Mus musculus: one gene and its partner. The protein of the gene in region 1 interacts with the protein of each later gene in a biochemical or structural test. Links are inferred from orthologs where the notes say so. Each region holds a gene or a part of one and is shown on either strand. Other genes may lie near its edges. The genes, in order: Gabarap and Nbr1.

Evidence for each region.
Region 2: the proteins of Gabarap (region 1) and Nbr1 form a complex in vitro, tested with the Homo sapiens proteins (3 studies listed by BioGRID and IntAct). The link is inferred for Mus musculus from reciprocal best matches to the Homo sapiens genes GABARAP and NBR1.

What each region holds. Positions count from the first base shown.
Region 1 is NC_000077.6:69,989,899-69,994,206, forward strand, and holds the start of Gabarap (gamma-aminobutyric acid receptor-associated protein), read left to right. Parts: upstream 1-1,471; 5' UTR 1,472-1,814; coding exon 1,815-1,904; intron 1,905-2,466; coding exon 2,467-2,545; intron 2,546-2,683; coding exon 2,684-2,802; intron 2,803-4,308. Other genes in the region: Ctdnep1 (CTD nuclear envelope phosphatase 1), read left to right, coding at 79-139. UniProt on the Homo sapiens protein: Ubiquitin-like modifier that plays a role in intracellular transport of GABA(A) receptors and its interaction with the cytoskeleton.
Region 2 is NC_000077.6:101,555,407-101,559,216, forward strand, and holds part of Nbr1 (next to BRCA1 gene 1 protein), read left to right. Parts: intron 1-403; 5' UTR 404-469; intron 470-768; 5' UTR 769-783; coding exon 784-885; intron 886-3,810. UniProt on the Homo sapiens protein: Ubiquitin-binding autophagy adapter that participates in different processes including host defense or intracellular homeostasis.

The DNA of each region.
Region 1 (4,308 bases):
AGTGAGACTCCGTTGTGCTAGTGTTGTGAGGGTGTCAACTATAAGGTATTTCACCAACACCAGTTACTGTCATTTCAGGTTCACTGCTGATGTCCGATCGGTGCTGAGCCGAAACCTTCACCAACATAGGCTCTGGTGACAGCTGCTCCCCCTCCACCTGAGTTGGGGTGGAGGGGAAAGGGAGGGAGAGTTCTTGGGACACCGTCTGTTGCCCTGTCCAATGTGAGGACTGCCTGGGCAGAGTCTGCCCCTCCCACCCCTCTGCCCTGGGAGCCCTACACTCCACTTATGGAGTCTGGATGGACACATGGGCCAGACCGTGAAGCAGCCTCACTCTGGGTTCACACTCCGTGGAAATGCCAGACTGGGACAGGCGAAGGCCTAGAGGAGCCGAAACAGTCTGGTGAAGAGGCAGGACTGGCCAGAGTGACAGACATATCCCAGAGGCTCAAAAGAAGCCAATTCAACTTTGTTGTGATTTGATTTTTTTAAAAACTCTTATACAAAACTGATCTAATTCTTCACTCCTGCTCCAAGGGCTGGGCTGTGGGTGGGGACTGGGGTTTCGGGCCACTGGATCCTCCTCAGACTTGTCCCCCCCTTACTTTTCCTCATTTTTTTTCTTTCCCCAATCCCCCATACCTGTAATCGGCTCCTTTCTTCTTTCCTCTTTTAAACCATGCATTATAACTTTGAAACCAAAGCTGCCCTAGACCCTTCTCTGATGTTTTTGGAAATGGAGGGAACTTTGTTGACATCTGCTCTGTCCTTGAAGCAGAGGGAGAAGATGCTGTTTGGAGTTGGGGGGAAGTGGGATTTAGCACAGGGATAAAGTAGTTTATGTTCAGTGTTCGGCAGGAAAGGCCCCACTGACTGGATGGAGTCCCTGATGGACAGTGGACCAACAACTTTAAAGTAGGATATAGAAGGCTAAAGAGGGAAAACTCTAGAACCCTGGAAGGGCATACAGCTGGAGAAAGGCTGGGCTTGTCTGGGAAGTTGACGTGGACAGGCTAAGAGGGCGCTGCCTACGAGGTGTTGGCACTCCAGCAGTAACCTGGGGCGGAACCCTCTTTCCTGGCACCTCCTCTCCAGAGCCGGGACTACTTTTCGCCACCCGCCACGTGATTCTCCGCCCTTTTCTGAGGTCACATGATTTTATCTACACTCAGAAATGTGTTCCTCCGCTCTGGTGTAGTCCTTATCTTTGGGGCTTTTGCAGTTTCTCTTGGTTCACATAAGCCTGAGCCTTGAGCATTCCCTGGGTGTCTGCAAACCTCTTTCCTTTCTGTCTTATGGTGTCCATATCCACAGCTTGGGTACTACTTTGTTTTGGTGTCAACGGCCACCTTCAGCGTAGAAACACGTCTCATGAAATCCTAGACTTGTAATTGTCTGCCTTTCCCCAACGTAATTTCCGAGAACTGCAGAACTAAATCTCATGACTGCCACTGGGTACCAGTTTCGTCCTCAACTTTGTACTGTGGGAAAGGGTTTTTCAGTTCACTCGAAACAACAGCAACCTTATCTGCGATGTCATATGTGTAACCCACAAGTTGATTCCAAAGCAGTTACGCTGAAGGCGTAAGAGGACCAGGCTACGGGTTGCGCTAGCAAGCTGAGCTAGTGGCGTATGTTAGCAGGCGGGGCCGGTCCGATGGTCGGGGGCGGGGTTGATGAATAGGGAAGTGGCGCAAATTCGTGGATCGCTCCGCCAAGTCTGTTCGTCGAAGCCGCCTCCGCCGCCGCCCCCTGTCCCGGCCCCCCCCCTGGGTTCCCTCAGCCCAGCTCGGTCCAGCCCGGTTCTCGGGAGAATGAAGTTCGTGTACAAAGAGGAGCATCCGTTCGAGAAGCGCCGCTCTGAGGGCGAGAAAATCCGAAAGAAATACCCAGACCGGGTCCCGGTAAGGACAGTAGCCAGGGCCCAGGCTAGCGTCGCTGACGCTGTCGCCACAGGCTATGCTTGAGTCTGGGAAAGCTGAAGTCAGGCTCTGTCTGTCGTGGGGTTAGAACTCTGTTGTCTCTGGTACCAGAGGTCTCTCACCTGAAGTAGAGCTGGGGACTAAGATGTGGACGGGAGAGAGAGATCAGGGTATTTCTCAGAATAGAGGCCTTAGTGAGCTTGACAACCCAGAGTTTCCATGGCCATCCTCCCAACTAGCTAGATTTAATGTAGATTTTTGACCCAAACAAGTCATCCTGTATTCTCTGGTGAAAATAGTTATTGTGATGCGCCGTTCTAGGATCAGTTCTCAATATTTAGGTAAGAGTGAGGCCAGGAGCTTTGGACCTAATGCTGTGTGCACCACGTATATAAGGATAACTAGAGAAATGAGATTCCAGTAGGTTTCAGTAAAAGGGAATATTGTATGTTGAGTTCTTCATCGATATAGCAGCATATATATGTGTATGTATGTATATATATATATATATATATTCATTTTTCTCATTCTTACCTTTTATCAGGTGATAGTGGAAAAAGCCCCCAAAGCTCGGATAGGAGACCTGGACAAAAAGAAATACCTGGTGCCTTCTGATCTTACAGGTGAGGGCTTGACCTGTGGTGCACGTTTCTTTCTGTGGGTGGGCCTGCCAACTCTGTGGGAGGAGGCTTCACCTGGCAGCTGTTCTCTGGAGGCGCCTACGACCTCTGTGACTTGCTTGCATCTCCTGTTTTTGGCAGTTGGTCAATTCTACTTCTTGATCCGGAAGCGAATTCATCTCCGTGCTGAAGATGCCTTGTTTTTCTTTGTCAACAATGTCATTCCACCCACCAGTGCCACGATGGGTCAGCTGTACCAGGTACAGTACCTTGGAAGGAACGGTAGTGTTTGGAGAGGAAAGTAAAGGCCAGCGGTCGCTGCTGGCTAACTTTAAAATGTCAGTACAGCCCTGCCGTGGGATCTTACTAGCGCTGAGAATAGGGAGGAGTATGAACTGGTGGAGTTGTTCTGACTGGGACTTACTACCTAAGTGAGTCTCTCCAAGAGTCCCAGATGTCAAAGAATAGATTGCGTTTGAGGAGTGGTGGTTGTTGTTGTTACTTTCTGTTCGTTTTCTTTAGGAGACAGGGCTTCTCTGTATAATCCTGGCTGTCCTGGAATCCCCTCTGTAGACCAGGTTGGCCTCTAAACTCCCAGAGACCCACTTGTTTCTGCCTCCCTAGGGCTGGGCTTAACAAAAGGTGTGCGCCACCACTGCCCTAAACTTGACACACAGACCAGGCTGACCTCAGACTCAGAGAGCTTCCTGCTTATGCCTCTTGAGTGCTGGTGTTAGAGTTGTTATAAGTCCTCATCCTGAATGGTGACACATACCTTTGATCCTTTAAATCCAAAGCACAGCTGTTTCTGCACACAGTTTTAATCCGATCATCCAGGAGTCAGAGGCTGGTGGGTCTCTTTTGAGTTTGAGTCTATCCTGATTAGTCAGAGATACTTAGTAGTGAGACCCTGTCTCAAAAAAAAAAATAATAAATAAATAAATAAAAATAAAAATAAAACAATCAAAAATAAAAATCCCCAAATTAAAAACCCTCAAAACCACTGAACGTGGGGCATGATCATGCACAGCTTCAGTCCCAGCACTGTGGAAGCAGAGGAAGGTAGAGGCCGAGGCAGCAGTATCAAGTTGGAAGTTGTTGACTACATAGTATAGTGAGTTTGAGGTCAGCCTCTTTTTTTTTTGTTTGTTTTTTGTTTTTTTGAGACAGGGTTTCTTTGTATAGCCCTGGCTGTCCTAGAACTCACTTTGTAGACCAGGCTGGCCTTGAACTCAGAAATCCGTCTGCCTCTGCCTCCCGAGTGCTGGGATTAAAGGCGTGTGCCACCACACCGGGCAGTGAGGTCAGCCTTTTTCTTTCTTTCTTTCTTTCTTTCTTTCTTTCTTTCTTTCTTTCTTTCTTTCTTTCTTTCTTTTTTTTTTTTTTTTTTTCAGAGACAGGGTTTCTCTGTAAAGCCCTGGCTGTCCTGGAACTCACTTTGTAGACCAGGCTGGCCTCGAACTCAGAAATCCACCTGCCTCTGCCTCCCAAGTGCTGGGATTAAAGGCTTGCGCTTCCAAGCCCAGCTTGTTTTTGTTTTTGTTTTTGTTTGTTTTGTTTTGTTTTGTTTTGTTTTGTTTTTTGAGACATAGTCTTTCTGTGTAGCCCTGGCTGTTCTGGAGCTCACTCTGTAGACCAGGCTGGTTTCTAACTCACAGAGTTCTGCCTGCCTCTGCCTCCAGAGCATTGGGATTGAAGGTGTGCACCACTACCACCCAGTCCAAGTCAGCCTTTCCTATAGGAGAGAGATAAAATAGGAATGATTG
Region 2 (3,810 bases), about 32 Mb from region 1:
ACCTTTAAAATTCCCCATAAGTGATTGTAAGAGGTTCTGGTAGATTGTTGTTGTTGTTGCTGCTTTGTTTTGGTGTTGGTTTGTTTGCTTGCTTATTTTCTGGAGACTTAGTGTTCATTCTGTAACCCAGGCTATTCTTGACCTCCTTACCTAAAATTGGAAATTCCGTCTATTTGTACTCCCCAAGGCAGAGCCCTTGTCTGTGTTAATCCACCTTGCTGGATTACGCTACAGATGCTCAACTATCCAAGCACTGAAATAGGCAGTGAAAAATCTTAGAGACCTAAAACATGTGAAGGGGGTTTTTGTTGATGTGGATAAAATTTAAACTCGTTCAACAGCCGTTTACCCTCCCCACAGCCCACCTCTTTAATCCTAAAGATAGGATCTCATTGTTTCCTAGGCTGACCTAGAACTCTTGGACTTCCATTACCATCCTGCATCAACTTCTGAGTAACTGGGACTACAGGTGTGTGCCCAACTTGGCTTTTCTCTCTAACATAGAAGTTCTATATAAGTGGTAGCTATAACATAAGTGCAGATCTTTATAGCAGTATCTTGAGCATTAGTGTCTTTATTTTTGAGAAGGAAAAATCCTGTGTAACAGTGAGATTTGTAGAAAACACATTACTAGATAGTAATGTCATCATGGGGACATTGTCTGTCTTATTCACTATGATCTTCCAAGTCTAACTTATATATCAGAGCTGAAGCCTCCGGGTGGGTTTTTAATCCCTTCCTCTTCCTTTCATCTACCTGTCCTCTCAGCTCCAGCCAGACAGCATGGAACCACAGGTTACTCTAAATGTGACTTTTAAAAATGAAACTCAAAGCTTTCTGGTTTCGGATCCAGAAAATACAACCTGGGCTGATGTTGAAGCTATGGTAAGTACCGCTTTGTTCTGTTTCTCAGTGGGTTATACACAGATATTTTTCAAAATGTAGCTATTTTGAGCAGTTTATTTTATCCATTTCTGGACCTTTTGGAAAATCATTTTTTACAGGGATTTGGTATTAGTAGAGAATATGTACAAGGAAAAAGGAAGAAACAATTATGTTCCTTTAAACATCTTTAAAATTACATATATTAATTTTTTTGAGAGAGAGCAAAAATCTGGGACAATTTTGGGAGTTGGTTCTCTCTTGTATGAGGTAAAATGATATTTTCAGTGAATTAGGGTTTAGAGACATTCTGGGGATAAGTTAGGCTGTCCTTCCCTGCAGCCAGGCCGTAGTGGGTGTTGTCTGACTGGAGAGCAGGCGCACTGCTGTGTTTGTTACCTGACGAGGATGGGATTTGTGTTTTGCAAGACCGGTCAGTTGCTTTATCGCTGGGTCAAAGGTTGGATGTCTCAGAGCTGGCAGAAAGCAGCGCAGCTCCCATGGGTGCCCATGCAGCAGCTCCTCTGCTCCGTGCTTTGGTTTAGTGTCTTTCATCTTGCTTTGCCCTTTGTACTCTTCTGGTTTGTGGGTTGCCATGGTCAATGTTTTCCTACTTGGGCATCTGTGTTTAATGTAACCATTTTTGGTTACAAATATTTCTTTACCTGGTTTATCTATGTGGGTAACTTCAGCAGGAAGGACATTTTAGAAAGGGGCCTTCCAGTGTGTTACAGTCGTTCCCTGTCTTCCAGCAGTTTCTCTCCATCCTGCCCTAGGCAGGTGGCTATTGAGGAAGCAGTGGGGTCCTGTTAAATGATCTGAGCACCAGATTTCTTTCTTTCTCTAGCAGCTGTTGGGTGAGTTGGCAGCTTGCCCTTTTTTTTTTTTTTTTATTGGAACTTGTTTTGTTTTGTTTTGTTTTGTTTCGCTTGAGTAGCCCTGGCTGTCCTGGAACTCACTCTGTAGACCAGGCTGGCCTAGAACTCAGAAATCCACCTGCCTCTGCCTCCCAAGTGCTGAGATTAAAGGTGTGCATCACCTTGCCTGGCTGGAATTTTTTTTTTTTCTTTTTTTAAGATTTATTTTATGTATGTGAGTACACTGTCGCTGTCTTCAGACACACCAGAAGAGGGCATCAGATTTCATTGAAAATGATTGTTAGCCACCATGTGGTTGCTGGGAATTGAACTCAGGACCTCTGGAAGAGCAGTCAGTGCTCTTAACCACTGAGCCATCTCTCCAGCCCGGAAATTTTTAAATTATATCCTACATGTGCAGTTCACGTCTTCTTTAAATAGCCAGAGAAAACAGCCCGAGGAACTTCCCACATTTCCATGTTCATGCGGTTATCTGGTAGGGTCATACAGTCTTCTACATCTTGCTTTTCTTGCCCAACAGTATATTGTAGCTGTGGTTCCTCGTCAGTAGACACAGCAATCTTAGTCTTTTACAGCTGAGTCCACGGTGTTCTTAGTATTGCTGGACGATGTGGATAGGACCATTACTTACTGATTTCCCCACCAAGGTTTTCTTTCTTTTCCCATTATAAAATAGACAGGACCTACATCTCAGTATGAGTAACTTATGTGTGGTTCTATAGAGTAGAGTCTATCCAAAGGTTGTGTGTGTGTGTGTGTGTGTGTGTGTGTGTGTGTGTGTGTGTGTGTGAGAGAGAGACAGATAGGGACTGGAGAGATGGCCCAGTGATTAAGAACACTGGCAGCTCTTCCAGAGGACCCTGTTGGATTTCCAGCACCCAGGTGGCAGCTCACCGCTCGCTATCTGTAACTGCAGTCTCAGAACGTCAGCCATCCTCCTCTTTCCTTTGCAGGCAGCGCACTCATGTGATGCACAGGCATATGTGAAGGCAAACACTCAGATGCATCAAATGAAAAGCATTTTCATAGATAGTGCCAAGTGGTCCACAGAATAATTATAACAATGCACAGAAAAAATGACTCAATGCCTAGAAGGGTGTTCTGTTTTTTATTTTGTGGGGCCGGAGGTCAAATGTTGGACCTTCTACATGCTGGACAAACATTCTGCCACTAAGTTTTGTTCCTTGCCCTGAACCTTTGACAACACTGAATATTACAACTTCAAAAAATATTCATGACCAGGCGTGGTGCTGCACACCTCTAGTCCCAGTATTTAGGAGACAGAGGCAGGCTCTGTCTTAGACTCTGTGAGTCTAAGGCCAGCCTGATCTACAAAGTGAATTCCAAGTCAGCCAGAGCTGTTGAACAGAGAAACAGCCATGTCTCAAAAAAAAAAAAAATGTTCACATCTTAATAATGTGTCAGATGTGTCTCTGTTTACACTGTTTGGCTAGAGGTAAGGTTGAATATGTTTATATATTTATTAGGCATTCCTATTTCCTCTTCTGTATATTTTGTGCACATTTTTACTTGTATTACTCTGTAAGGTTTTTGTTCGTTTTTGTAAGTCTCTCTGGCTGTTCTGAAACTTACTCTGTAGTCCAGGCTGGCCTCACACACACACACAGACATCCACCTGCCTCAGCCTGCTGCATGCTGGGGATAAAAGCTTAAGGATGTGCACAGCTGCACTGGACACTGGATTATTCCTCCTGCTATCGGTTTTCATGAGTGTGTGTGTGTGTGTGTGTGTGTGTGTGTGTGTGTGTGTGTTTTACAAGTTTTACCCCTTTATCTGTTAACTCTTACAGATGTTTTCTCTTAGTCTGTTTTAAGTTATTTTTAAAAACTATATTAAGGTGTTATGTACGTTGGTGAAGGGCTCAGTTAGCATTTCCAAAGCTCTGCATTGAATCCCCAGCATCACAGAAAAAAATGAACATAAGGGGCTAGGGAGAGGGCTCCTTGGGTTAAGCCCTTGCCACACAGGTGTGAGCACCAGTGTTTGGATTCCCAGCACCCATACAAATGTAAGTGTGTGTTATGGCCT